Linked DNA regions of Macaca mulatta. The protein of the gene in region 1 purifies or fractionates together with the protein of each later gene. This does not show direct contact. Links are inferred from orthologs where the notes say so. Each region holds a gene or a part of one and is shown in the gene's direction. Other genes may lie near its edges. The genes, in order: ARPC1A, ARPC5L, ACTR3, ACTR2, ARPC3, ARPC2 and ARPC5.

Region 1 (3,667 bases):
CTCTGTCTCAAAAAAAAAAAAAAAAAAAAAAGATTGTCCCCTCCATTATAAAATGTAGTCTTTCAGAAAATTTCTCTACATAAACAAGCACTTATATATCTTTTCATTTTTAACAGAAATGAGGTTATACATTTTATACATTTTTGTATACATTTGGTAATTTGCCTTTTGATACTTGATAATACTTAGGTATTTTGATGCCAGTGTTACTTAATTTTTATATGGTTTATTGTGACACAGTAAGTTCTTAGCATATGCTTATTACAAGTCCCTATCTACCCTCATATTGACTTCTTTCCCTTTTCCAGTCCTGCAAGTCAGATTACATGCTCCACCCTTCCGCTCCTCCAACATAAATATCTCATGTAGTAAAAGTCAGGTATACCACACTAAGGGCTTCAGATGACACATTAATTCTTCAATGGCAACTTTATGAAGGGCGTCCTGAGACATGTACAGTTAGCTTTTATTTTGTTATTATTTAGAGAGACACTCTCTGTCGCGCAGGCTAGAATGCAGTTCTGCAATCATAGCTCATTACAGCCTTGAACTCCCGAGCTCAAGTGCTCCTCCCAACTCAGCCCCTCAAGCAGATGGGGCCACAGATGTGCACCACCACGCTAGGCTAATTTTTTTTTTATTTTAATTTTTCATAGAGACTGGGTCTCACTATGTTATCCAGGCTGATCTCAAACTCCTGCCTCCAGCAATCCTTCCGCCTCAGCCCCTCAAAGTGCTGAGATAACAGGTGTGAGCCACCACGCCCAGCCACAGTCAGCTATTGAATGCATCGTTTCTTGCATGAAGTGAGGTGCTCCTAACTCATCAGCCAGTGTGTTTGCCTGCCATATCTGTGTAATCTCTTTGCCACACTCAAGAGCAAATAACTACATGCACACACGTGTCCCTGCACGCACACATACACACACACGGCCCATTCGAGTGCGAGCTCCTGGCTAAGACCATTTGGTTCATTTTGGTGGCTCTAATTGCTGACACAGTGCCTGGCCGTCAGCACAGATGTGTGTGGCCACAGCCGTCTCGGAGCTCCGGGGAGCACAGGCAAGGAGAGGGTCCTAGCACAGGTGTTTGCTGCCAAGTCATAGTAACAGAAAGAGCTCTAGGAGCTAAGAGCAGGGAGAAGCTGCTTTAGGCTGCAGTGGCCTCTGGGAAAGTGGACCGTGGGATCATGGGGGTGATCCCTTTAGAGCTGTGCTGGGGGTCGAAGGGCGTGGGCGGAAAGACAGGGCTTTGGGAACCAGTTTGTCATGAGTGGGCGGGGTCTCAGAAGCAGGCGGGAGGAGCCCAGGCTGGAGCTGGAGCCGGAGCCGGAGCCGGAGCCCAGGGCCACCCCTGGCTCAAGAGGCCTGCAAGTTGAGGTCAGAGGCTCCTTTTCAACATAAGTGCCCGTTGATACTGCAGAAGCCCCTGTGAGAATGGGTCCTTTGTTGTCATCTGTGTCTGTAAAGAAGCTAATAGTCTGTTACATCTTGGGATAACAAACGTTCTTGTGTTTAGGGTCTCAACTCTGAAGACGGAGTTCCTGCCGCTCCTGAGTGTGTCATTTGTCTCAGAGAACAGCGTCGTGGCTGCTGTGAGTATTTTTCTTCATTCTCCCTCGGGGTGCACTGTATGTGATGCTCAGACAGGGAACAATGTGTGCTCTGTCACCCTAGCACAAAGCAGAACAGTTTTTTGTTTTTTGGTTTTTGGTTTTTTTTGAGACAGAGTTTCGCTCTTGTCCAGGCTGGAGTGCAGTGGGTGATCTTGACTCACCGCAACCTCTGCCTCCCGGGTTCAAGCGATTCTCCTACCTCAGCCTCCCGAGTAGCCGGGATTACAGGCATGTGCCACCATACCTGGCTAAATTTGTATTTTTAGTAGAGATGGGGTTTCTCCATGTTGGACAGGCCAGTCTCAAACTCCCGTCCTCAGGTGATCTGCCCACCTCGGCCTCCCAAAGTGCGGGCGTGAGCCACCGTGCCTGGCCTTAGAGCTCACTCTTTTTTTTTTTTTTTTTTTTTTGAGACGGAGTCTCGCTCTGTCGCCCAGGCTGGAGTGCAGTGGCCGGATCTCAGCTCACTGCAAGCTCCGCCTCCTGGGTTTACGCCATTCTCCTGCCTCAACCTCCCGAGTAGCTGGGACTACAGGTGCCCGCCACCTTGCCCGGCTAGTTTTTTGTATTTTTTTTTTAGTAGAGACGGGGTTTCACCGTGTTAGCCAGGATGGTCTCGATCTCCTGACCTCGTGATCCGCCTATCTCGGCCTCCCAAAGTGCTGGGATTACAGGCTTGAGCCACCGCGCCCGGCAAGCTCACTTTTAAGAGTAAGAGCAGGTGGGGCACGATGGCTCACGCCTGTAATCCCAATACTTTGGGAGGCCAAGGCAGGTGGATGACCTGAGGTTGGTAGATTGAGACCAGCCTGGCCAACATGGTGAAACCCTGTCTCTACTAAAAACACAAAAATTAACCAGGGCATGGTAGCGCGCATCTATAATCCCAGGTACTTGGGAGGCTGAGGCAGGAAAATCACTTGAACCCGGGAACCAGAGGTTGCAGTGAGCTGAGATCGTGCCACTGCACTCCAGCCTGGGCAACAGAGCAAGACTCAATCTCAAAAAAAAAAAAAAAAGTAAGAGAGGCCTATCATGGTGAACACTCTGCCAAGGAGCTGGGCGGTGGGCAGTGTGTCCTCCAGGGACTGACTGAGTCTCGTTTCAGGGCCATGACTGCTGCCCAATGCTCTTCAACTACGATGACCGCGGCTGCCTGACCTTCGTCTCCAAGTTAGACATTCCAAAACAGAGCATCCAGCGCAACATGTCTGCCATGGAACGCTTCCGCAACATGGACAAGAGAGCCACGACTGAGGACCGCAACACGGCCTTGGAGACGCTGCACCAGAATAGCATCACGTAGGTGCCGTCTGTAGAAAGGTGGTCAGGTGACAAGGTGCCCTCCTGCCCCTCGCCGTTTTCTTACTGGGTTCCTACAAAAGCTCTATGCCCCGCAGGCCCAGGCATTCCTTCAGTTACAAGTGCAGCAAGAAGTCCGTATCTTCCCGACTGCCAGGCTCTCATTTCCAGCTCGTGATAGGGAGAGAGTCGCCACCACCTGGTCATTCTATCCTTCAAGGTGCAGATTACAAGGCAGCAGCCAGCAGCAGCTGTTGCAATCCGAGGTGGTGGGGCTTCAGGGCAACCGCTTCCTAGGGCACCCTTTCTCAGCTACTCAAGAATGAAAGGAGACTTTCTTGAATGCTGCGTTCCCATGGTAGTGCACACATAACAGAAAGCGAAGTTACAGCCTGTTTGAAAAGGTAACTGTAACTGTCATTTCAAGTAATGGATACAAAAAGAAGATTCTTTAATTAAAGAAACAATTTCTTAGCATCATGATGACAAAGCTGAGGAGTGTTTCAACTGGGTTTTCATAGGGTATATGTAATTATGTAAGACAACAGAATTGTGTTTTGTCCAGAAAGTTTGATATTTATTTATTTATTTATTTATTTATTTATTTATTTATTTTGAGACAGAGTCTCACTCTGTTGCCCATGCTGGAGTGCAATGGCACAATCTCAGCTCACTGCAACCTCCGCCTCCCAGGTTCAAGCAATTCTCCTGCCTCAACCTCCCGAGTAGCTGGGATTACAGGTGTGTGCC
Region 2 (4,160 bases), on another chromosome or scaffold:
TGGAGTGCAATGGCGCGATCTCGGCTCCCTGCAACCTCCACCTCCCAGTTTCAAGCGATTCTCCTGCCTCAGCCTCTCGAGTAGCTGGGATTACAGGCCTGCGCCACCACACCCGGCTAATTTTGTATTTTTAGTAGAGACGGGGTTTCAGCATTTTGCTCAGGTTGATCTTAAACTTCTGACCTCAGGTGATCCGCTCGCCTCGGCTCCCGCAGTGCTGGGATTACAGGCGGAGACTTTTCTTTAGCGCCAGTTTCCCACTATGGGAGTCTGTATCCTGGTTACCACGGAAGATTAGGTTGCATCATAGTCTGGCAATAGTTTTTTGATCTTTAGACACAGTTCAATGAGAAGTATTCGAAGCAGTAAAAATGAATCACATTCCAACTTTTATTAACAAGGGTACTATTAGATGAAAACAGTTTTCATAGTATTATATAAAAGACCCATTTTACTTACCCTAAGGCTAAGATCAATTAACAGAACCCCTGGGGTAACAGCCCAGGCACCAAATCTGACACCTCAGAGTCGTCCTTGACTTCCCTAACCCGCTTTCCCGCATCTCAGATTCTGAGAATTTGGTTTCTATCAAGATGTGCCTCTCAAGCCAGGCCTCTCCTGCCAGGACGGTGGCCACAGGGCCATCTCCCTCTCCTGGGGCCCCAACTGCCTGGTCAAGGTGACTGCTACACACGTGGGGCCGCAAAATCCCTCGAGTCACAATGTCTTCAACGCCTTGTCAGCCCTCTGATCGCACTAAACGTCTTTAAAGCCTCCCACTCCTTTAACAGGGTCACCTCTGTGTAAAGGAGACCTCCTCGTGCTAAGTGTGGCGGCGTTCAAGATTCCAAGACACAGACCCCTCCCGCGTCACTCCCCGGGCACAGGAACTCCTACTCATCCCTCAGTCATCAGCTCGAAGGTTTCTTCTCCAAGAAGCCTGCCCAGCACCCGAGAAGTAGAGCCCCGAGCCTTCTCCCGGGCGCCCAGTCTTCCCCCGTACAGGCAAGGATCACCCCGGAAGCCCGCGCCGGGCCCCGCTGAGGCCAGGGGTTCTTCGGAGGCGCGGGAAAGCCGGATCACCAGCGCGATTACGGCACACACTATGCGGGGCCTGCAAGGATACCGGGCGGCCACTCCTCAGTGGTAAGACAGAGGCTCCGCGGAAGAGAGACTGAGGTCGGAGAGGCCGCGGAAACCCCATAGCGCACTCCACGGGACAGGTTCCGCCCCGCCCCGATGACGCTTCCGGATCCGGCGTGTGCCGGAAGTGGGCGGGCGGCGGCGGCTGCGCGCGGAGGCGGTGGAGGAGGTGCTGGGAGCAGCCCGGTGGCCGCTTCCCGCCCCCGAGCCGGAGCCGGTGCGAGTGGAGCAGAGCTGAGGTCGGGCCGCGAGTGGAGCCGGCTGAGCGGGCGCCGAGCTCCCGCCATGGCCCGGAACACGCTGTCCTCGCGCTTCCGCCGGGTGGACATCGACGAATTTGATGAGAACAAATTTGTGGACGAGCAGGAGGAGGCGGCGGCGGCGGCGGCGGAGCCAGGCCCGGACCCGAGCGAGGTGGACGGGCTCCTGCGGCAATATCCTTTCCTGACGCGGCGTCCGGGCCTGCGCGCGGCCTTCCCACCTTCTCGGGCCCCTTCGGGCGGGCCTCTGCTGTCTCCGACCCCCGGCCCCCTCAGGTCAGCCTTCAACTCCCTGCCGACCTGACTCCCCTGGGCCGTGCTCCCCTGAGTCCTGGTCTCCCTGGGTCCTTCCTCCCCAGCCCTGGCCCCTTCTTGTGCAGCGCAGCCCCGCAGGCCCTTGGACCCGGTGGACGGGCTCCCTCGGTAGCCCCGCAGGTCCCGCGCCCCGGGCTCTCTTCCCCTCTTGCCTCCTCGTCCCCTCACGCTGTCCCTTTCTGGGGGCCCCAGCACTCCGTCCCTCCCTTGCAGGAAATCGGGCCTATGGCGGGGCTGGGTCGGCGGCAGGGCGGAGGTGAGCCGTATCTGAGTAACCGAGTGATCGGTGAGGCTGGGGCGCGGTCTTCCGGGGCCAGATTGCCGCAGGGCGTGAAGATAGGTGGGTGGACCGCTGTGGGGAAGACAGGACCCAGGAGGGAGTGGAGGCGGCCGCCCTATTTCAGCCCTGGGGTCTAAGGTTGTGCCTCCCCTCCCCCAGTCAGTCTAACCCTCCCGCTTAATGCTGAGAAAGGGAAACCCTGTGGTTCCTCTGGTCACCTTGGTGGTCTCAGCTACGCTCAGCAAGTGAGTCTTGGCTCCCCCCAGTACCCTTCTGGTGCAGGAAGCAGCGGAAAGAACTAGTAGTTCAGAGCTAAGAAAAACCAGACACCTTGAAGTGAAGTGTGAAAGTAGAGCCCCACGCCTGGAAATGACTGTTCTTGTGGCCACAGAAAACAGCATTTAGAAAAGATTAAAAATAGAGGTGATTGTCACAGCCTTGCTTGGTCCTTTAGCAGTATGAGCGCAGGAAACTGACTTATTCTCACCGGAAGGATTTTTCTTTATTCAAATGGTGTTCCAGGAAGCCTGTCCCCTCCCCCCGCACGGGCGGGGGCAGGGTTGGAGGCCCATGCTGTACATAAATCAGGTTCTCGGTGTTGAACCAGTTGACTCAGCTTGGAAAGTGGGGCCTGCTGCTTTAGGGGGAGCCCGGCAGTGCTCCTCAGTGTGCCTTTAAAACGAAAACCTTCAGACTTGGTTTGAACAGGAATGTGTTTTCGGAAGTGGAGATTCAAGCTTGTCATTCCTGCCCCATCAGGATCTCCCAGTCCACCCTAGTTATGAAATGGGGTCAAGGGAAGGGTCCCCAGGAGGGAAGGTTGGTTGTAGTCAGGTGCAGGGCCTGGCTTATGGAGAGTCAGTGCTGAAGGGGGCTCCAAGGTCAGGCCTTTGGCCCAGGACCCTCATTGAACAGATGAGGAGGTCAGGCCTGTCAGCTGCTGCCTTGGTCTGGGTGCAGAGCCTTGTTGAAGGTCATGTCTTGGGATTCCCCTGCCTGGTGACAGGTTCCTTGAGGCTGCTTAGAGGCCTGGGTTTAGCACATCCCGGGGATGGTCGTTTCTCCATTCATGGCAGCGGCAGAAACCTTGTTACCATGGAGAGTGTTCCACCTGGGGTTGGGGAAAGGGAGGTTAGCGGATAAAGAGAACTGAAACCCTGGCAAATACCGGACCCAGGTAGGGAGGAGAATGGAACTGATATTTATTGGGTCTCTATCATGTGCCAAGAATTGGACTTAGACCATTGAGGACAGGGGAGCAGGGAGAGGGATAGAGGGATTGGGGTTGGGGAGGGCAGAGAGGAACCCTGTCCTGGGGCTATATAGGGAAGTGTGTGTGGCGGGAGATCACGCAGATGGGGTAGAAGGAACTCGGCTGTGCATCTTCGCACACCGCGCGCCATCATGCTCTGGCTCTGACCTCGGATAGGTCACATACCCTTTCACAACTCAGCATTCTCCTCTGTGACGTGGCAGACAGCCGTGCTGGCTTCCTAGGTTCTGTGGGAGCCTCATGGGCTAACATCAGCATCACGGGGCACACAGCAAGTGTCTGCTCAGGTCTGCAGCTAGAGCGGCAGCACGGGATTGTGGGAGGAGCTTGGGTGCCAGGGCCATCTAGACAGCTTAGTTTTGTGACCCTGTGCAGGTAATTTCCGTTCTCTGAGCCTCAATTCCATTGCCTTTCAAATGAGATAATGATTGTTGTTACTGGGATTTTTGGAATGAGATGGCATGTGAAAGCACCAGGCACAGGATCCGAGACCTTGTGGCGATTTAAAAGTATGAGTTCCTTTCCCCTCAGTGAAGCAGCTTCTAGACTTCTGGATCAGGGCTCTGGCCAGAGCAGTGGTTTTGAGCGATTTTGCACCCCTCCTCTCCACCTCAGGAAATTAGAAACATTTTGATAGTTACAGCTTGGGGATGCCACTGGAATCCAGTGGGCAGAGGCCTATGACCCACAGCTGAGATCCCACGTCAGAGAATCGTGGGTCCACAGTGTCAGTTGTGCCGTGATTGAGGAAGATCTAGAGATCAAGGGCTGGGCAGGGTTCCCCCAGCACCACAGCCTATTCTCTGAAAAGGTCTAAAGCCAGCCAAGTGTGACAGCCGGCTTCATGAATGATAGGTGATTTCAGGGAGGCCCTCCCTGCACCCCACAT
Region 3 (4,219 bases), on another chromosome or scaffold:
AGACATCCTTCCTTTTAAAGAATATTTTTATTTTAGCTTCACATTAGCAAACTCAGAATGGTTTATTGTTAAGATCAGCCTGGTAGAGAGGAAAGCTATTAACCTTCTAGGGTCCTAAAGTGGAACTAGGAACTGATTAGATACGCAGATTTTCAGGCATTATTTCAGACAGCCCAGTCAGAGAATTCTGGGGGTGTGGCCCAGCAATCTGTTTTAACAAACCTTTCGGGTGATTCTGACACACACTAAAGTTTGAAAGGTTTCTTTAAGGCTTTCCAGTTTTCTTTTCTTTTTTTGGAGGGATGGTGGTGGTGGTGGGGGGGTCTCCCTATGTGCCCAGACTGATCTCGAACTCCTAGCCTCAAGCTATCCTCTCCTCCCACCTCGGCCTTCCAAAGCATTGAAATTACAGGCCTGACCCACTGCGGCCCGCCTCCGTCTTTAACTTAAAAAAAATTTTTTTTGGGGGGGCTAAATCCCTTCTATTATCCCGCTAGTAGAATCTTACTACTCCTGAGGGTAATCTTTGTCATAGTCCAAAAGCCTTGAATAAAGGCTGTTTGTAGTTTTGCAGAATATATTCCTGGGCGGTTTGCCTTCCTCAGGAGCTCAGGCCTTGGGAGGTGGGGGTTGGAGGGCAGGGCTACATTCTGAAGTCCTGTAACAACGCACAAGTACAACTGAATAAAACTCGGAACAAAGGCATCAGGGCCACGGTGCAAGCCTTTGTTCATCCGTTCCCCGACTGCTCACCCTGTGTGATATCGCTCTTTTCCACCCAGAAAAGCAGCCACTCAAGTTTTAAGAATGGATGCATGCCGCGGACGTTTTCGATTAGGCCGTTTTCTCCCAGGCACTGGAGGATATTCGTGGCTGCAGGAGGCGCTTCCACTCTTTCCTCAACCTAGCAGAGAAGTAACTGAAACTAACCCAAGGGCTACCACCGAAAAGCCCCTTCCAGCTTCAGAAGCAGAACTAGAAGCTCGGCTAGACTTCTCCGTCTCTACCCTCCTGGAAAACCCGCTGTGGATTTCACTAACTTCAGGATCGGAGCCCCGGCAGGCGAACGCACCTTATTGCGCATGCTCGCTAGCCCCTCCCGCTCGGAGCGGAAGGGGGAGTGCTCGGGGCCTGGGCCTGGCCTGGCCGGGGCGTCGGCACCGGCGGCCATCTTGGCTTCCCGGGGAAAGGCGGCGTGAGGGGAAGAAGTTGTAGGGTGGGGGCAGGAGTGGGGAGGAGGGAAGAGAGAGGGGGAGGAGGCCGCGGCGGGGCAGGGCGGGGACTGCCTGCCTGCTTGGGTTGCGGAAGTGATAGCCGCTGACCGAGCCTGCTGCTTTCTTGCTACTGCTTCGGCTTCCCGGCTACCCCCCGGACGGTGAAGGCGGCCCGGCTGTGGATGGTCAGATAGCGCCTGTCTCCCGCCGCCAATCTCTGGCCCCTAGCAGCACGGAGCAGACGGCGGCAGCAGCAGCAGCAGGCGAGGAGGAAGATGGCGGGACGGCTGCCGGCCTGTGTGGTGGACTGTGGCACGGGGTAAGGGGGCTTACGGGCGGGGGTGGGGAAACTGAGGCGGAGGAAGGAAAATGGCGGGGGAGGGAGGAGGCCGGGAAATGAATGGTGCGGCGAGGTGCTGCCGCCGGCTGTCAGTCCTAGACTCGCCGGCCAGCGAGGGGTGGGGCCCGGAGCCAGGGCCTCGCCGGTCCCCTCGTTTCTCCCTCCTAGGACTGGGGCGGGGGCGCGGGCCCCAGATTCAACCCCCAACCCTCCCTGCAGCTTCCTCCGCGCGACCCCTCCCGGCCCTTCCCCCACGGCGGTGGGCAGTGCCGCCCAGAGAGTGCTAGGGACGGTCGTCTTAGGGGTGGTCCCCGGGCCCGACCCATCCGGCTTTGCTTTCCCTCCGTGTCCCTTTTTGCCAGTCGGTGTGGGGACCCAGGGGCCGAGCTCGGGGACTGGCCTGGTAGAGGAGCTAGAAAAGAGAAGCGCTCCTGGTAGGTTTTGCAAGATCGCTGTGACAACATTCTGCCCAGGGTGTGGGTGGGGAAAGGGAAGAATCGGACTCTGAAAATGGGAACCTACAGTGGGGTTTTCATTTGACCACCCACCTTCTCCTTTCGACTCCCGGTCATTGCCATCTCCCTCTGCGTTTCAACCGGTGAACCGAGTCACATTTTAATTCGAGGGAGAAAGATGTCATGTGTTACTTCTGTAGCCTCAAAAAAGTCCCCCAGTGAGCAAGCGCGCTGTAACTTCCTTAGTTTTGTCAAAGCCGCTTCCTGCTTTCAGTCTTTTATACCCTTATAAGGTAGTTTTTAGTTTCCAACCTGAACACATCTTATTAGAACTTTTAAAATTAAGCAGATTTTAAAGAGACTGAATTACAGGTGCTTGGTATCCATTTATATGACTTAAAAAATGTGCTTATGTTTCATGGAGAGGGGAGAAAGGAAGCACCCTGGGAAATAAACTAATTTAAGTTGTATTCGTTCATTCTGTAAAGGTATCTTGAAGGAAGCAGAAAGGTATAGAGGTATATAGGAATGTGTTTAAGTTGCAAGTAGTTACTCCTAGATCTGTAGGGTAGTTTGCTAAAATGTAGAATGGCTTAAAAGTGATCTTTCATTTTGTATTAATAGACATTTTAGAGAGTTGTACCACACTCATAACTACATAGAGAATAGACTACTCTTATTTTAATGTAGAATCACTGCTTCACGATGACTTATAGGAAGGGTTTTTTTTTTTTCTGTTCTGATTACATCTCTCCAATTCCCAAAACACTCCCAATTTTTTTTTTTTTTTTTGAGGGGGAAGGCAGTGAGAGGCTTGTTTTTTTATTAATTATAATTATTAATTTCATTATTGTTACTTAAAAGATTGTGTGTCCTTCACTCTTTACGTGAAATTTCTTTAATCTTCATTCTCATAACTAGCTAGTGTGGCAGTTTCTAAAATCCCAATTAGGTAGAGAGAAACAACCAACTTCTTAATATTCTCCCTAGGAAAGCACTAGCCTAGATTAGCCTTGGAACTTCCATGTATTTTATTGATGAACACTTTATTATAAAGTTTTTCATGAACACTTTATTATAAAGTTTTTTCTTAATTGGTTCTCATTTCTCGGAACCAATAGTTTTTTTTATTTCCCCCTTCTTAGTCTAATTGATGAGTAGTTTTATGTCTAAGTTCAGTTTTAAAATTAGATTTGGCCTGAGTCAGTAGGATAGAACTTTTTAAATGTGTTTTGTTAAAGTGACGAATATTGCTACATAATTAATGCTTTAGAAATTACTGAGTTGTCAAAAAAAATAGTGTAAATAACTGTGGCCCTAAGAAATAATATGGTAACATCTCAAGTAGTATGTTACTTTTCTAATCTCCATTTTTCCCTCTTTGAAATAGTTTCGAATTAGTATACAGGATGTCTCATTGAGGTCATCTGTCCTTAAGTGACCTCCTTTCCTAAAGGGCAACCTTGAATTTAAAACATGCTGAATGACCAGTAGGATCGGGGAGAGGGGTTCAATTTAACCTAGAGTATTTCTGTTTTAAAATTACAATTATTACAATAGTATATTTTTAAGTTATTACACTGGTTTCTCTGATAAGGAGAGGTTGTTAACTGCACTTTGATGATTTGAATGGAACTGATTAGGAGTCCCCTTGCCACCTCCCTCTCTTTACCATTTGTCACAATCTGAAATTCCCCCTTTAGAGTTTCAGTTATTTTGGTCCTCAAAAGGCTTTTTGGTCTTGCAAGTTGCCAGTGGTGCCTCCTGGGAAGTTACACTTTCAGCTTTATTAGCACATGGAGGATAAGTCCTTGAGGTCGAGGACCCTGAGATAAGCATCTCTAAGTATGGCCTTAACAGGGAGCTTTTACATTTCAAAATTCTGTGGGCCCCGAATGCAAATTGTGCACCTATAATTTGTCTATTTCTTTATGCTTTAGAGAATGCATTCAGTTCTTAGGTCTCTAAATTACAATTACCCACTTAGCTTAAGTAAAAAGTTGTAACCTGAATCAGGTTGCTCATTTCATTCGTTATATAAATTAGGGAAAAGGTGGCTGGAAAAAAGTGGCCATCTGTAAAACTTGATCGTCTTAGATAAGAAAGCTTTTAAGAGTTAGGAAACTTGAAACTTAATCCCAAAACTTGTCGGGATCGTCCAGCAGAACTCAACATATGAATCACCTAGATTCAGGTCATAAAAGAGAATG
Region 4 (3,667 bases), on another chromosome or scaffold:
GTTGGCTGTTCACTCTGTTGATAGTTTCTTTTGCTGTGCAAGAAGCTCTTTAGTTTAATTAGATCCCATTTGTCTATTTTGGCTTTTGTTGCAATTGCTTTTGGTGTTTTAGTCATGAAGTCTTCGCCCATGCCTGTGTCCTGAATGGTATTGTCTAGGTTTTCTTCTAGGAGTAAACCCATTTTGTAACTTAATCATCTCCAGATTTGCTCTGGAGATTCCTTCCTGAAGTCTTCTTGATAGTTTCTCTAGTTGTCTAATTTTCCATCTACCTGATTAGTTTGGAAGAAAGTGGCTGGCACAGGGCAAAAGATAAGCAAACTAGAAATGTAAAACGTGTTTTATTTCTTCTCTCTTTTCTCAAAGCATTTGAGGTAGACTACAAAGATATATACAAATAGGCTGGGTGTAGTGGCTCACACCTGTAATCCCAGCATTTTGGAAGGCTGAGATAGGAGGATCACTTGAGGCCAGGAGTTCATGACCAGCCTGGGCAATATAACAAGAAGACCCTGTCTCTACAAAAAATACAAAAATTTGCCAGGCATAGTGGCACATGCATGTAGTCCTAGCTAGTTGAGAGGCTGAGGTGGGAAGATTGCTTGAGCCCAGGAGTTCAAGGCTGAAGTTTTGAGGCAGAGCTAGGATTGCACCACTGCACTCCTGCCTGGGTGAAGGAGCGAGACCCTGTCTCAAAAAAACAAAGCAAAAACCCATATATGTATTTACATATATATATATATTTGATATATACACACACATATACACAAGTATAAAGTAATAAGCTGGTGAGTAAGTAAAGAGGGGCATGAGTGGACAAATACAGAACAGGGTAAGATTTGGTGCAAAGAAATGGGATGCCTACGTTTAACAGTTCATTAAGGTGGTTAGAAAACTTGACCCCATGTTGGCCAGCAGCCAGAGCATGGAAAGAAGCCACACTATCAGGCTTCGAGTGCTTAAGGAAGGAGGTTTTGCTAGTAAGATCTGCTGTGCGAAGTTTTTCCAAATATTTTGGATGATTTCATGTGAACCCACCTGACGGAGGTGGCTTTTTTAAGGTTGTAAGTTTTGGTAACCTTTTTTTTCTTTCTCTTTTGAGACAGGGTCTCCTCACTCTGTTGCCCAGGCTACAGTGCAGTGGCATGATCTCGGCTCACTTCAGTCTCAATCTCCCAGAGTTAGGTGATCCTCCCACCTTAGCCTCCTAGGTAGCTGGGACCAGAATCAGTCAGTTTTGGAATCTAAACAATCATTGTAATTGGCCAGGCGTGGTGGCTCATCCTTGTAATCCCAGTACTTTGGGAGGCCGAGATGGGAGGATCATTCGAGCCCAGGAGTTCAAAAACAGCCTAAGTAACAAAGCAAGACCCCATCTCTACAAAAATAAACAAAATGAGCCAGACATAGTAGTGTGCACCTGTAGTGCCAGCTACTTGGGAGGCTGAGGTGGGAAGATCACTTGAATCTGGGAGATTGAGGCTGCAGTGAGCCATGATCACACCACTGCCCTCTAGCCTGGACAATAGAGCAAGACCCTATCTCAAAAAAAAATATATATATATATATTGTAGGGCCAGGCATGGTGGCTCATGCCTGTAATCCTAGCACTTTTGGAAGGCCAAACTGGGCAGATCACTTGAGGCCAGGAGCTCGAGATCACCCTGGCCAACATGCAAAAACTGTCTCTACTAAAAATACAAAAATTAGCCAGGCATGGTGGCACATGCCTGTAATCTCAGCTACTTGGGTGGCTGAGGTATAAGAATCATTTGAACCCGGTAGGCAGAGGTTGCACTGAGCCAAGATCAAGCCACTGCACTCCAGTCTGGGTGACAGAGCGAGACTCTGTCTCAAAAAAAAAAAAAGTAATTATATTATAAATGTACTGTTAGACTTGTTAATGTAAAATTAATTCTGGTATCTTGTATAGAAATGTGTCAAATGCCAGCATACATGGGCATGCTTATTACTTAGGACAATCCAGTGAATTGTGAGGTGTTATGAGAGGAAGTTTCTACTTAACATTTCTCATTTAATTAAATATGAACATGATGTGTGACTGACAAGGTTTTTTTGTACAAAGTCATAATATGACACCTGTGGCCGGGCGCGGTGGCTCACGCCTGTAATCCCAGCACTTTGGGAGGCCGAGGCGGGCGGATCACAAGGTCAGGAGATCGAGACCACGGTGAAACCCCGTCTCTACTAAAAATACAAAAAATTAGCCGGGCGCGGTTGTGGGCGCCTGTAGTCCCAGCTACTTGGGAGGCTGAGGCAGGAGAATGGCGTGAACCCGGGAGGCGGAGCTTGCAGTGAGCCGAGATCGCGCCACTGCACTCCAGCCTGGGCGACAGAGCCAGACTCCGTCTCAAAAAAAAAAAATAAAAAAAAAAAAAATAATAATAATAATATGACACCTGATTTGTTTAAATCTTATTTGCTTAAATTGAAATTATATTTATCAGTTATTTAAAATTTATTAGGACCTAGTAGGATACAACAGAATTGCCTAATAAAAATAGTCTAGATCAGTGTTCTGTAAACTTCTTTGATCATAAAACATTTTTTGGATTAAATGATTTGATAGAAGTGGCACACATGTTATAAAGTATTTTGATGGCAAAATAATAGTTTCACAGAGTAATTATTTGGTGACATAAAATTATTTAAAATGTTTGATGTAGCTGGGTGCAGTGGTTCATGCCTGTAATCCCAACACTTTGGGAGGCCAAGGCGGGCAGATCACCTGAGGCCAGGAGTTCAATACCTGGTCAACATGATGAAACCCTGTCTTTACTAAAAATATAAAAATATGCTGGCGTGGTGGCGCATGCCTGTAATCCCAGCAACTCAGGAGGCTGAGGCAGGAGAATTGCTTGAACCTAGGAGACAGAGGTTGGAGTGAGCCGAGATTGCGCCATTGCGCTCCAGCCTGGGTGACAAGAGCGAAACTCCATCTCAGTCAGTCAATCAATGTTTAACATGTCTATTCTACATAGCAGAAATATCCATAAAATCACAAATATGTTAAAATTATAAAACTGCAGTAACACATAGCAGCAGTAATCAAAATACAGTGGTTGGTTAGTGATGGCTGTTTCTGCTTTGCTGCAAATGTCATGCACTCATGCATCAGTGATTTCTCCAAGAAATTCCTGATATTTGGGGGCATGGCATACCACTTTTAAAAGCAAAACAGAATGTGATGATAAGAACAGTTACCTGAATCTATTTAATTTACCTTTTTTTCCCCAAAATATTTTTTAGGAAAAGTTATTGTTGGTAATGATTTTGGTTACAGAACAGATGTATTTGTAAGTACTAGTGTTCTGGAGAACACTGGGAAATTTTAATCTTTTCTGATTAGTACCTGATTATTCTTGGTTTCTAGCTCCCAGATGGACGTATCATCAAAGTTGGGGGAGAGAGATTTGAAGCACCAGAAGCTTTATTTCAGCCTCACTTGATCAATGTTGAAGGAGTTGGTGTTGCTGAATTGCTTTTTAACACAATTCAGGCGGCTGACATTGATACCAGGTATATTAGAAATGGTGATTTCAAAGTTATTTATCAGAAAAATAATAAAAAAAATTTTAAAGTTATTTATCAAAAATAGGTGGAATTAAATAGAATGCCTAAGTTGTTTATAAACTTACTTGAAATA
Region 5 (4,110 bases), on another chromosome or scaffold:
GGGATAGAACAGGGACTCACAGTGCAGGCAGCGCTTTGCTCACGTGGGGCTGTCATGCTGGGCTGTGAGACTGAACCTCGGAGAGAGGATGGAAAGAACAGAAAGCAGAAAAGAAATGGAGAGTGACTATGGGGCTACTTTGGGCTCTTTGTCAAAAAAGACCTTGCCTAAAAGGTGCTATTTGCCCAGTCACCTGAATGCGAAATCAGATGTGGGAACATGGGGCTCTATTCCAGGCTGCGAACTGGCAGAAGAAATGGCTCTCAGGTAGCAATGAACTTGACTTTTAACGTAAGTTTTCTAGTAATAAATAGGTTAAAAACTCCTGGGCTTTCGGTATGCTCCAAGCATGTAAGTTCTAAGCATTTTACATGTAATTCATTTCATCGTCACAAAATTATGAGGTAAATATTGTTACAACCATTTTCAGGTGAGGAACTGAAGTACAGAGGCAAGTTAACTTGCTCAAAATTATAGAGCTAGTATGTATTGAAGCTGCGATTCAGATTCCAGTGCCCTTCAGTTTCTCCATTTTTAGATGCAGTGCATTGGGTTCATTCATTTACTCAAATACTGATGTTTCCTACATACCATCACTGTTACAGGCGCCAGGGGACAAAACGGGCGAAGTGCTGTCTGGCATTTACAAGGATAGGGAGACAAGCACTAAGAGTAAACTAAATACAAGAATCATAAGAACTAAGGGAAAAAGCGGGAGAGAAGGATAAGGCATGGGGCTGGAGTCGGGTGAATTGAAAACAGAATGACCAGAGGCGGCTTCACAGGAAAGGTGTTTTGTTTGTTTGTTTAAGATAGAGTCACACTCTCACCCAGGCTAGAGTGCAGCGGCACGATCTTGGCTCACCGCAAACTCCGCCTCCCAGGTTCAAGCGATTATTCTGCCTCAGCCTCCCGAGTAGCTGGGATGCTACCACGCCCAGCTAAGTTTTGTATTTTTAGTAGAGACGAGATTTCACCATCCAGGCTGGTCTCGGACTCCTGACTTCAGGTAATCCACCCGCCTCGGCCTCCCAAAGTGCTGGGATTACAGGCATGAGCCACTATGCCCGGCCCTGAAAAGGTGAAATTTGAAAAAAACACAAAAGAGGTGATTGATCGAAGATTCTGGAACCTCAAGACCCATCTCCATTCTGCGCGCGCCTCACGCTGCGCCACTCTGAGGGCCCCTACCTAGCGCTCTGGCGCCCCCTTTCAGATCCGCGCGGCCGCTGCAACCAGAGGCGGAACTACAAAGCCGGAAGCTCACGTCATCACCCCGCCCCTTCCGTTTCGCTTCCGCCTACCCCGCCCGGGCTGCAAGACCGGAAGCGCTCTGCTCTACCTGGATTCTGCTCCTCTGGGTTGGAACCCGGGTGCTGCCAAGATGCCGGTGAGGGTTCGATCCATGGTGTGGGGAGACAGCGGGGATTGCGAAAAGCGGGGAGAAACCTTGTGTGTGCCGAGAGAAGCGGGCGGCGGAAGGCAGAGAGGAAGCGGGGGCCCGAGAAGGAGTGAGGCGAGGGGAGGGGACCGGTCGCTGAAGAATTGGGACAGCCCGCGGGTGCCAGTCGTGGGAGGCGGGGGCGCGGCAGGAGTGGGCCCGGGGTCCAGGGGTCCAGGGTGTGTGAGGAGGCCCTCTTCTCTCTCTCTCCGTCTACTCCTTCCGGCTCCGGCAGGGTTCCCAAAGCGTCACTACAGCGCGAAGCCAAGGGTTGCCCTTTTTATTTTTCATATTTCAAGTCCAGGGTCTAGCTTCTCCTTTTTCTGTGAGGCCCACTTCCTCCTCCGCCCCGGGGGGCAGGCTCCCTCTGCTGTTTGTCATTTGTCAGAACCCACTTCCCGGCAGCGGCGGCCACCCCGGAGCCACCTGGGTATAGGGCCCTCACAGACTCGGTCGGCGCCTGACTTCCAAAGATTTCCTTTTTCGTGTGCATCAGAGTGGGAGTAAAAATCTATGACGGTCTGGTTGTACTTAATTTCTGACAGGCAGTCTGTGGGCTAGATTTATCACCATCATGGTCTCCATTTTGCAGATTCGGGAAAAGGTGGTTCGGTTATTGTGTGATTGTTCACACTTTTTTTGTTTTTTGAGAGAGTCTCGTTCTGTCGTCCAGGCTGGAGTGCAGTGAGGCGATCTCGGCTCACTACAACCTCCGCCACCTTGGTTCAAGCAGTCCTCGTGCCTCAGCCTCCTGGGTAGCTGGGATTACAGGCGCGCGCCACCACGCCCAGCTAATTTTTTGCATTTTAGTAGGGACGGGGGTTTCACCATGTTGGCTGGGCTGGGCTGGAACTCCAGACCTCAGGTGATCCGCCCCCTCGGCCTCCCAAAGTGATGGGATTATAGACATGAGCCACCGCGCCCAGCCTGCTCACACATTATTTTTAACAAACGTTACCGAGCACCTACTGCCTGCCAGGCTCTATTTACAGCAGCAAATAAGTTCAACAAATCCCTAATCTTAAACAGTGTACGTTCAAATCGGGAGACGAGACAATAAAAGTGTAAACATAAAGGAGATACATACAGTAGTGTCAGGTAGTGACAAATGCTATAAAGAAGCTAGATGGATGGCCAGGCGCGGTGGCTCACGCCTGTAATCCCAGCACTTTGGGAGGCCTAGGCGGATGGATCACGAGGTCAGGAGTTCAAGACCAGCCTGGCCAACATGGTGAAACTCCATCTCTACTAAAAATAAAAAAATTAGCTGGGCGTAGTGGCGCGTGCCTGTAATCCCAGCTACTTGGGAGGCTGAGGCAGGAGAATCGCTTGAACCCAGGAGGTGGAGGTTGCAGTGAGCCAAGACTGTGCCACTGCACTCCAGCCTGGCCACAGAGTGAGACTCTGACCCCCCCACTCCAAAAAAAAGAAACTAGATAGGTAACAAGACAGTTTGGTGAAAGGGAAGGCAGAGGGTGCTTTACATAAAGTATACTTGTGATGAAAAGGAGCAAGCCATAGTTGCAAATACATATATATATAGATATATATAGATAGATTTTTTTTTTTTTTTTTTTTTGAGACAGGGTTACACCCCGTCTCTGAGACTGCAGTGCAGTGACACAAACTTGGCTCAGGTGATCCTCCCACCTCAGCCTCCTGAGCAGCTGAGACTACAGGTGTACATCACCACGCCCAGCTAAGTTTTTCTATTTTCAGTAGAGACAGGGTCTCACCATGTTGCCCAGGCTGGTCTCAAACTTCTGGGCTCAAGCAGTCCTCCTGCCTCGACCTCCCTGAGTGTTGGGATTACAGGCGTGAGCCACCTCATTCAGCCTCACAAATACATATTTTATGAATTCCGTAATTACCATTTGACTCCTGAGCTCTGGGGTACACACTTTATAAATTATCCCATCTAATCCTCATAATGACCCTGTGAAGTAGGTACCATGATTCCTATTTTACAGAAGAGGAAACGGAACCTCAGAGAAGTTAATTTGGACAAAGTTGCCTACTAATGGTAAAACCAGATTTTAAGCCAGGACTCTAGGCTGGGTACAGTGGCTTATGCCTGTAATCCCAACACTTTAGGAGGCCAAGATGGGAGGATCACTTGAGCCCAGGAGTTTGAGACCAACCTGGGCAACATAATGAGACCCTGCCTCTACAAAAATAAGAATAAATTAACTGGATGTGGTAGTGCATCTCCTCCCAGCCTCTCAAGAGGCTGAGGTGGGAGGATCACCTGGAGCCAGGAGTTTGAGGCTGCAGTGAGCTGTGATCATGCCACTGTACTCCAGCCTGGGTGAGAGGAGACTCTGTCTCCAAAAAAAAAGGACTCTAAAGCCCTGTACTGGCTCCAGTTGCACATAGAGCACCCTGGATTCACCCTGGGTTGGTTGGTTGGTTGGTTTGTTTGAGATGGAGTCTCGCTCTGTACCAGGCTGAAGTGCAGTGGTGCGATCTCGGCTCACTGCAACCTCTGCCTCCTGTGTTCAGGTAATTCTCGTGCCTCAGCCTCCCAAGTAGCTGGGAATACAGGCATGTGCTACCACACCCGGCTAATTTTTGTATTTTTAGTAGAGATGGGGTTTCACCATGTTGGTCTGGATGGTCTCTATCTTTTGGCCTTGTGATCTGTCAGCCTCGGCCTCCCAAAGTGTTTG
Region 6 (4,173 bases), on another chromosome or scaffold:
TCCGCACTCAGGTAACAAGGAGGGTGTATCTCTGCCAGAGGTACTGGAAGGTTTCAAAAGCAGAAAAAAAATGTGTTCTGGACACCTGGACGTAGAATTGGAGGCATGACAGAAACACAGGGAGGCCCATCTAAGTTGCCTATTCACCCAGGTGACCTCTCATTCCTTTCCTTAATTGTCCTTTTAACAATACAGGGAATTTCACGCAAGGAAAGTGTCCTCTTCTCGCCCCAGCGGGCAAGGGGGTTCCTCCGGCGCAAGTTCCGGCCCCAGCTATTCCCACGTCCCACAGGTCTCCTGCCTTTTGGTACGTACACTCCTGACCACTCGCTGCTTCCGCATCCCTACTCTGATCCTCTCCCCATGCATCTCTACCTCCTTACACAATTGAAAATTTTATTGTCTGTTTCCTCTACCAGACTCTAAGTTCCACGAGGGCAGGGCCTCATCTATTTCATTTACCACTACATCCCCAGTATAGAGCAAGAGCCCATGAAAATGTTTGTTGGAGAAATGAATGTCTGATGGTGTCGCTGGACAGCTATACCTGGAAAGAAAAAGAGGCACCCCCAGCAAACAAGCTGGGAGCAAAGAAGCCCGCTGGGAGACTACAAGGGCGAGCTTCTTGCGAGGTCTCTGAAATGACAAGACCGGAAGAACGGAGTTGGATCTCTGGGACAAGCGGGAGTGAGAACCTGGACAGTCAGGCAAGCCTCGGGGAATGACAGCTCCGCGGGGGACGCACTGGTAGGCTGTAGACGTAAGGGGGTCTGTGAGAAAGTAGAGGGTGGGGTGGCGGCATCAGACATACGCAAGCGCAGTCTCCGTTTCCTCCGGCGCGCCTGCGCTCGCGTTCACGAGGGGTTGAAGCGGAAATGGCGCCGCGGGGCCGCGCGTCCAGGCGGCGAGCGGAAGTGGGTGTGAGAGCGGAAGTGGCCGGCTAGAGCCGGGGGCTGGGCGGGGACTGGGCTTGTCGGTGAAGCGGCAGTGGCGGCGGCGGCGGCGGCGGCTCGGCAGGCGGGTTCAGGCTTTGGGGGCCAGGTCGGTTGGTTGGTTGGGTGGGTGGGTGTCTCCACAGTCTGCGTGCGTGGGCCAGCGCGTGCGTCTTACCCTTCCCTCCATCCCGGCCCCTCTCCCCTTCTCCCCTAACCTCCTACCCCACCCAGGTCCCTTCAGGGGGCAGCAGGGCCGCTTCCTCCGTCCTTCCCTACCTTACCCACCCTCACCGGCCCTTGTTTCTCCTTCCCCTGCTCGGGGCAGCCGCCGCCATGATCCTGCTGGAGGTGAACAACCGCATCATCGAGGAGACGCTCGCGCTCAAGTTCGAGAACGCGGCCGCCGGGTGAGCGCGCGCCCGGGGCCAGGGGTGGCGGGGGAGGCAGAGTTGACCCCAGCTAATCCCCAGTGTCGTCCAGTCCCCCAGACCTGGAGGAGAGAAATGGGGTGCCTGGCAGGGTGTAGGGGCTGCCCCAGCGGGGTAGAGGTGGGAGGCGATTGGGCGCGGCCGGGCGAGGGGCAGAGATGCGTGGGGAGAGGCTCAGAGGAGGGATGCGGAAGCAGCGAGTGGTGAGGGCTGTGCGTGCCAAAGGGCAGGAGACCTGTGGGACGTGGGGGACGCTGGGGCCGGAACTCGCGCCGGAGGAGCCCCCTGCCCGCTAGGGCGAGAAGGGGACCCCTTCCCTGCGTGAAATTCCCTGGCATTGTTCTGAACCCAGAGAGAGCCTGTTTGGAATTGGGTTGGAAGGAGTTTTCAGGAATTCCCAGGACTGGAGGAGGAAAGGAGATGCAGGCCCACGTCGCCACCAGCATTCTCGTTCCCCGCTGCCGTCTGCTCTAAAAGGAGCAGAAGAGAAGACTGAAAGCCAACCCAGTCTTAGAGCCGGAAAAACGCGATCTCTGGTTTCCCTTTCCCGAACCCTTCTGTGAGAGACACTGGGCCATTTTGTTACATAGTTTTCAAGCAAAGCTAATTGTCCCTTGCTCCACACCCGTTCCTTATCTCTCCTTTGAGGTTCTAATGCTCTCTCCTCGCCCACTAGCCTTTATCTGGTTATCTTGTAAATTCTTACATCAAGACCCTTGGTCTGTGATTTCTTCCGTGGTAGCCTTGGCCCAGTTACACACTTCAAAGCCTCCAGAATCTATAAAGTTCTTAGATAACCTCTCTTTACAGTTGGACTTTTTAAAAGATGGGCTTAGGTCGTATTTCCAAGGCAGCCTTCTCTGCCAAACACAAGAATCAGTAGAAGACAACCTCCTCCTCCAAAGCTGCTTTGCTTTTCTAATATATTTAAAACATGAGCTAAGCGTTTTGGGTTCTAATTTTTGGTGGCCTATGGCCAATCCCCTTGCCTCATTTCCCTATCTGTAAGCATGGGGCTTCACATCTGGGTTTCACAGTTGAGGAAATAAGAGCAGACTGTTTCTGGTGAACTGGGAGCTAGTAATAGGAAACTACTTGGAGATCCACAGATGGGAAAAGATTGGTAGAGGGGAATTTTTAAGTGGTCATAATGTACTTGTGGCTTGGAGGCATTAAAAAGTATTAACTACCATTTAAATTGAATATATAGTATGTCCTGTCTCCTTTATAAGGCAACAGATTTTATCTGTAAAACAAAGCACTACTTTCCTTGAAGTAATATGTGTAGTGAGCAGTACTGTTTCCTGCCAGGGGCTGCAGTTGCTTATATTTTAGGCTGACTTGCTGCTTTCTTGTCTTAGCCTCTCTTACCAGTTTCTTTGCATTTTAGATATTCAAATGAATCAGCCCAGAGTCTTATTTTGGGTGATTGCTGTATACTTTTTTCTGAGCAGTGTAGCACATAGGAGGAAGTTGAATTAACTTCTGCATTTTCATAACTGATCTTAATGCATTCTCAGGTCCAGACTAGCAAAGAATGAGACCTGGGCGGTTATAAGCTGATCTACAAGATAAATGGCTGTGTATTTGCAAGAAGAGGCATGTCTTTTAACATAGGAGTACATTCTCGTCTATTTGTGTATTAATGACTTGTGATTCCAAAATATGGCCCATTATTCGGAACTTCAGTTCTTTCTTTTTCTTTTAAAAAGTTATTCTTAAAAGAAGCAGCTAACCATTTCGGAGGGATTAAATAGGCCCTCAAGTCTGGAAGAAAAACGTTAGGACTTGCAGGACATTTTTTTTTCCCCCCGAGACAGACTCACTGGCTGGAATGCAGTGGCGCGATCTCTGCTCACTGCAACCTCGCCCTCCCAGGCTCAAGTGATTCTTATGTCTCAGCCTCCCAAGTAGCTGGGATTATAAGCACGCGCCACCACACCCAGCTAATTTTTGTATTTTTAGTAGAGAATGAGTTTCACCATGTTGGCCAGGCTGGTTTCAAACTCCTGGCCTCAGGTGACCCGCCCACCTCGGCCTCCCGAAGTGCTGGGATTACAGCACCGCGCCTGTCCTCATTTTTTACAAAGATTTGCATTGTAGGGAACTTGTATGGGGGTGCACTGCTGTGTGTGCTTGTGCACATGTACGGGTGTGTGTGTGTATAAATTTAGGCTTTCGTTCTGGCCCATCTCCCTCTTTGAGATTTGGTTTTCAATAAGGCGGCTCAGAACATTCTGCTGAGAATTTGAAACTTTGAAAGTCTTTTAAAAGACCACAATATCCTGCCTAGTAGGCAGGGCTCTCCTGGGATTACAGATATATCACCCAGCAGAAGCCCGAATGAAGCAAGCGGAAATTACCAGGCATCCCAGTAAGGTAAAGCAAGGTGCATGCCTATTCCAGAACTTCAGCAAAGTTTGCCCAGTGTGGTTATCATAAACATGTATGGGATTCTACCAGTGCTCAGCCCAGGCAGCAACAGAAAAAAGGGGCCTTTCTGAGAGCCTATTAGCCAAGTTAGGGAGGTGCTAAAGGGTGAAAGGTGTTGGGGTGGAGATCAGAGAAAGAGATTAAAGAATGGGAGTAATTTGGAGGAGAAACCCCGGAGATTTGAAAGGCCTTGCTGGTGTGGGAACCTGCTAGGAGAGGTCAGCTCCACCCTACTTTTTGCACTTCTCAGAATAAACCAGTTGGGGAAATTACAGTTCAGAGCAGCCTTTTCCAGAGTGCATCTTCCATCTCTGTGATGTCCAATAGGATAGCCATACAAGTGACCAGCGAAATTTAAATAAAAAGGTGAAGTAAAA
Region 7 (3,667 bases), on another chromosome or scaffold:
AAGGTGAGTCGCAGACTACAACACAGTGATCTCTGCTGATACCTTATTCTTAGTAAAATCCTCTGCAGTTGCAAAAAAAAAAAAACCAATATTTTAACCGTTTGCTAACTTTGACATAGAAGAGTTTATAATGTAGTTTGATAGGTAAAAATTTCACGTGAAAAAATAGCCCTGTAATGTAGTTATGATAATGCTGCATGGTAAGATGCAGTGAATTCAAATAGTGAAATCATTTGTGTGTGTTTTTAGAGGAGACCACTCAGGCTGAATTTGAACAAAGGTTTGAAAAATAAGTTAAACCTTTACAAAAATAAACAGATTGTAATTGCTTTTTAAAGATTTTTTAAAACTGTACAAATACTAAATATTTATTATAGAAAGCTCAGACATATGGGAAGGTTAAAAAGATAGTCATTTATAGTCCCACTACCCAGAGATAACAGTTACTACTTTGGGGCCTTGCTATATTGTTAGAGTTCCCTTTTGTTTTTTAAGAATGAAATTTTATAACCTGCTTTTTCGGCTGTATGCAATGTACAAGAGATTTCCTTCGTAATAAGTTTATTTCTATAGCATTTTTAACAGTTGTATATGGATAAGCTGCAGTGTATACATAACTAATCTTTTGTTATATATTTAGACTGACTTTTCCTATTGTGAACCACTGAAATGAATATTTTTTGGTAAATTTTTAATTGTTCTCTTTGAATAAATTGCTAGCAGTGAATTACTGGATCAAAGAACGCACTTTTTTAAGGCTTTTGGTACATGTAGTATTGCCAAATTGCCCTTCAGAATGGTTGTGCAACTTACATTCTCTGCAGTCTTTTAGTAGTTCTTAGCCTATTTAAGTATTTATTTAAAATGATGCCCATAGCATCAACCTCATTGTCCATAACTATTCGTACATCCTAGGAGCTTCAAGAATCTCAATTGAGTAGTAGTAAGTAATAACTTAGGTAAATGTGTAATAATTATCTAGGTAACATAATTTTTTATCGGGGAAAAATTGCTTTGGTTTTTACAAGTTGTAAAGAATGTCGTTGAAATTTCATTTTTACCCTGGATGCAAAGATATGTTTTCTAAATCTGGTGATTGCATAGTCTTTAAACCAAAGATAACAATAGGTAGTAGAAACATTGTGTGAAATCCTGACCAGTAGGAATGCTGGAGGTAGCCCTTTGTGTTGAATGGAAGAAGAAACGAATTGTTGAAAAGGTCAGTTAAGTGTTCCCTTTGCTTGCTTGAATGGGTAAGAAAATAACTGCTTTTGAAGCAGGCTTTTGCTAAAGAAAAAAGATCATTATTAATGAACATCACTATATTTCGTATCTACAGTCAATTCATATAAATTACAATTTTCTTTTAAGACAGCTTTGTTTAAAAATTTTAAAAGAAAGTTTTTAAGAAAAAATTACTTCTGAAGAATAATTCAAGGTAGAAATGCAAATCTGCTTCCTTGTTTTGTGGGGTTTCTTTTTTTTTTTTTTTTTTTTTGAGACGGAGTCTCACTCTGTTGCCCAGGTTGGAGTGCAATGGCGCAATCTCTGCTCACTGCACTCTCCGCCTCCCGGATTTAAGCGATCCTCATGCCTCAGCCTCCCGAGTAGCTGGGATCACAGGCACCTGCCACTATGCCCGGATAATTTCTGTATTTTTAGCAGAAACAGGATTTTACCATTTTGGCCAGGCTGGTCTTGAACTCCTGACGTCAGGTGATCTGCCCATCTCGGCCTCTCGATGTGCTGGGATTACAGCTGTGAGCCACCACACCCGGCTGTTTTGTTGGAATTTTGTTTTTAAGATCAAGACATAAAATTTAAATGTTGTTTTAATAAATTGTTAAATTATCACATTGATCTGTTAGCAAATCCTCTTGGCTCTGCCTTCAATTATGTCAATAGTCTGTCTAGTTTTTAACCACTTCCACTGCTACTGTGCTCACCACATCCGGCCTGTATTACTGCAATTACCTCCTAATTGCTCTCCCTGCTTCTGCCTTATCCCCTACCCCCACTGCTTATTCTCTGTAACGTAGATGCCAAAGCGATCCTGTTAAAATGTGAGTCAGATTATGGCACTGCTCTTAAAACCTTCCAATGTCTTCTTATTTCTCTCAGTAAAAGCCAAACTCCTTACAATGCCTGGAGGCCTTACACGATCTGTCCTCCCATAACCTCTGACTTGCTCACCTGCTTTTCTCCCACCAGTCCACTCCAACCACATTGGGTTTTTTTCCTATTCCTAGAACACACTGAACACACACTAATAGTGTGTTCTTTCCTCTGTCTGAAACACTTTCCTCAGTTATCCCAGGCCTTCCTCTTTCACGTCCTTCAGGTCCTTACTCAAATGTCACCTTCTTAGTGTGGCCTTTCTGAAATTCTAAACCATCCTCATACAGATACGTCTAAATGTTCTGTTATTTATTTACTCACCAGGACCGGGCAGGCAGCATTGTCTTGAAGGTGCTCATCTCTTTTAAAGCTAATGATATTGAAAAGGCAGTTCAATCTCTGGACAAGAATGGTGTGGATCTCCTAATGAAGTATATTTATAAAGGATTTGAGAGCCCCTCTGACAATAGCAGTGCTGTGTTACTGCAATGGCATGAAAAGGTAAATTATGAATTATAAATCTACATAACTGGTTCTTTTACAATAGGGGATGACAGTGACGACCTCTCTCACCTGAATAACCATTTTGACTTGGTTGTACATTTTTTTATTACAAATAAAATGCATGAAAATGATAGTTCATATTTATGTTTACTAGCCTTGGTCTTAAGAGATTCTAATTCCAACACTTGTGTTTATTCAGCAACGATTATTAGTAATTAAACATAATCTTGAACTCTAAATTAAATCAAAACTTTGTAAAAGAAAATAAGCAGTATAAATCAAGAATTCTTTCACAGTGACCAAAGGGTGAAAACAACACAAGGATCATCAACAGATGAACAGGTAAATTGTAGTACATACATACAATGGAATATGATTCAACCATAAAAAGGAATGACATTCTGACACATACTATAACATGAGTAAACCTTGAAAACATACCAAGTGAAATAAGCCAAATACAAAAGAACTAATATTTTATAATTTTACTTATATAAAATAATCTAAGATAGGCAAAGACAAAGGGACAGAAAGTCCTTAGAGGTTACCAGGAAGTAGGAAAAGTAAGGAATAGGGAGTTAGTGCTTAATGGGTACAGAGTTCCTGCTTGGAGTGGTAAAAAAGTTATGGAAACAGATAGTGGTGATGGCTACAATACATTGTAAATGTAATTAATGCCAATGGATTTTACGCTTAAAGATGGTTAAAATGGCAAATTTTGTGTTAGATATTTTACAACTTTTTTTTAAAGAATTAGGGGTTTGGAGGATCAAGAATTCTTAAATCATTTTTTTCTATTTTCATGCATATATTTTGCAATGTAAGTAGATGCTGGTACATCATCTGTCAAAAGAGTACAAGGGATTTTGAGCTTTGGGTAAAAAACTGGATAACATGTAAATAGAACCAGCCATAAAAATATTAAGTGTTTGAAGTGTATCCGAATGAAAACACACACATAAGAGAAAAGTACATAGTAAACTTGTTGTTTAGCCTTGGTCAAGTCACTTTATCCCTCATACACTATCAAAAAGAACTAACATTT

The links.
Region 2: the proteins of ARPC1A (region 1) and ARPC5L fractionate together in Homo sapiens (co-fractionation; 7 studies listed by BioGRID and IntAct, with this or other methods). This does not show direct contact. The link is inferred for Macaca mulatta from reciprocal best matches to the Homo sapiens genes ARPC1A and ARPC5L.
Region 3: the proteins of ARPC1A (region 1) and ACTR3 purify together in Homo sapiens (affinity purification with mass spectrometry; 7 studies listed by BioGRID and IntAct, counting the BioPlex papers as one, with this or other methods). This does not show direct contact. The link is inferred for Macaca mulatta from reciprocal best matches to the Homo sapiens genes ARPC1A and ACTR3.
Region 4: the proteins of ARPC1A (region 1) and ACTR2 purify together in Homo sapiens (affinity purification with mass spectrometry; 9 studies listed by BioGRID and IntAct, counting the BioPlex papers as one, with this or other methods). This does not show direct contact. The link is inferred for Macaca mulatta from reciprocal best matches to the Homo sapiens genes ARPC1A and ACTR2.
Region 5: the proteins of ARPC1A (region 1) and ARPC3 purify together in Homo sapiens (affinity purification with mass spectrometry; 8 studies listed by BioGRID and IntAct, counting the BioPlex papers as one, with this or other methods). This does not show direct contact. The link is inferred for Macaca mulatta from reciprocal best matches to the Homo sapiens genes ARPC1A and ARPC3.
Region 6: the proteins of ARPC1A (region 1) and ARPC2 purify together in Homo sapiens (affinity purification with mass spectrometry; 8 studies listed by BioGRID and IntAct, counting the BioPlex papers as one, with this or other methods). This does not show direct contact. The link is inferred for Macaca mulatta from reciprocal best matches to the Homo sapiens genes ARPC1A and ARPC2.
Region 7: the proteins of ARPC1A (region 1) and ARPC5 fractionate together in Homo sapiens (co-fractionation; 8 studies listed by BioGRID and IntAct, counting the BioPlex papers as one, with this or other methods). This does not show direct contact. The link is inferred for Macaca mulatta from reciprocal best matches to the Homo sapiens genes ARPC1A and ARPC5.

What each region holds. Positions count from the first base shown.
Region 1 is NC_133408.1:46,590,121-46,593,787, forward strand, and holds part of ARPC1A (actin-related protein 2/3 complex subunit 1A), read left to right. Parts: intron 1-1,518; coding exon 1,519-1,594; intron 1,595-2,723; coding exon 2,724-2,917; intron 2,918-3,667. UniProt on the Homo sapiens protein: Probably functions as a component of the Arp2/3 complex which is involved in regulation of actin polymerization and together with an activating nucleation-promoting factor (NPF) mediates the formation of branched actin networks.
Region 2 is NC_133420.1:22,905,278-22,909,437, reverse strand, and holds the start of ARPC5L (actin-related protein 2/3 complex subunit 5-like protein), read left to right. Parts: upstream 1-1,342; 5' UTR 1,343-1,428; coding exon 1,429-1,578; intron 1,579-4,160. UniProt on the Homo sapiens protein: May function as component of the Arp2/3 complex which is involved in regulation of actin polymerization and together with an activating nucleation-promoting factor (NPF) mediates the formation of branched actin networks.
Region 3 is NC_133417.1:23,708,055-23,712,273, reverse strand, and holds the start of ACTR3 (actin-related protein 3), read left to right. Parts: upstream 1-1,280; 5' UTR 1,281-1,489; coding exon 1,490-1,533; intron 1,534-2,102; exon of another isoform or gene 2,103-2,264; intron 2,265-4,219. UniProt on the Homo sapiens protein: ATP-binding component of the Arp2/3 complex, a multiprotein complex that mediates actin polymerization upon stimulation by nucleation-promoting factor (NPF).
Region 4 is NC_133418.1:59,439,878-59,443,544, reverse strand, and holds part of ACTR2 (actin-related protein 2), read left to right. Parts: intron 1-3,394; coding exon 3,395-3,540; intron 3,541-3,667. UniProt on the Homo sapiens protein: ATP-binding component of the Arp2/3 complex, a multiprotein complex that mediates actin polymerization upon stimulation by nucleation-promoting factor (NPF).
Region 5 is NC_133416.1:117,616,721-117,620,830, reverse strand, and holds the start of ARPC3 (actin-related protein 2/3 complex subunit 3), read left to right. Parts: upstream 1-1,307; 5' UTR 1,308-1,384; coding exon 1,385-1,390; intron 1,391-4,110. UniProt on the Homo sapiens protein: Component of the Arp2/3 complex, a multiprotein complex that mediates actin polymerization upon stimulation by nucleation-promoting factor (NPF).
Region 6 is NC_133417.1:123,429,480-123,433,652, forward strand, and holds the start of ARPC2 (actin-related protein 2/3 complex subunit 2), read left to right. Parts: upstream 1-1,257; 5' UTR 1,258-1,268; coding exon 1,269-1,342; intron 1,343-4,173. UniProt on the Homo sapiens protein: Actin-binding component of the Arp2/3 complex, a multiprotein complex that mediates actin polymerization upon stimulation by nucleation-promoting factor (NPF).
Region 7 is NC_133406.1:41,104,615-41,108,281, reverse strand, and holds part of ARPC5 (actin-related protein 2/3 complex subunit 5), read left to right. Parts: coding exon 1-3; intron 4-2,442; coding exon 2,443-2,619; intron 2,620-3,667. UniProt on the Homo sapiens protein: Component of the Arp2/3 complex, a multiprotein complex that mediates actin polymerization upon stimulation by nucleation-promoting factor (NPF).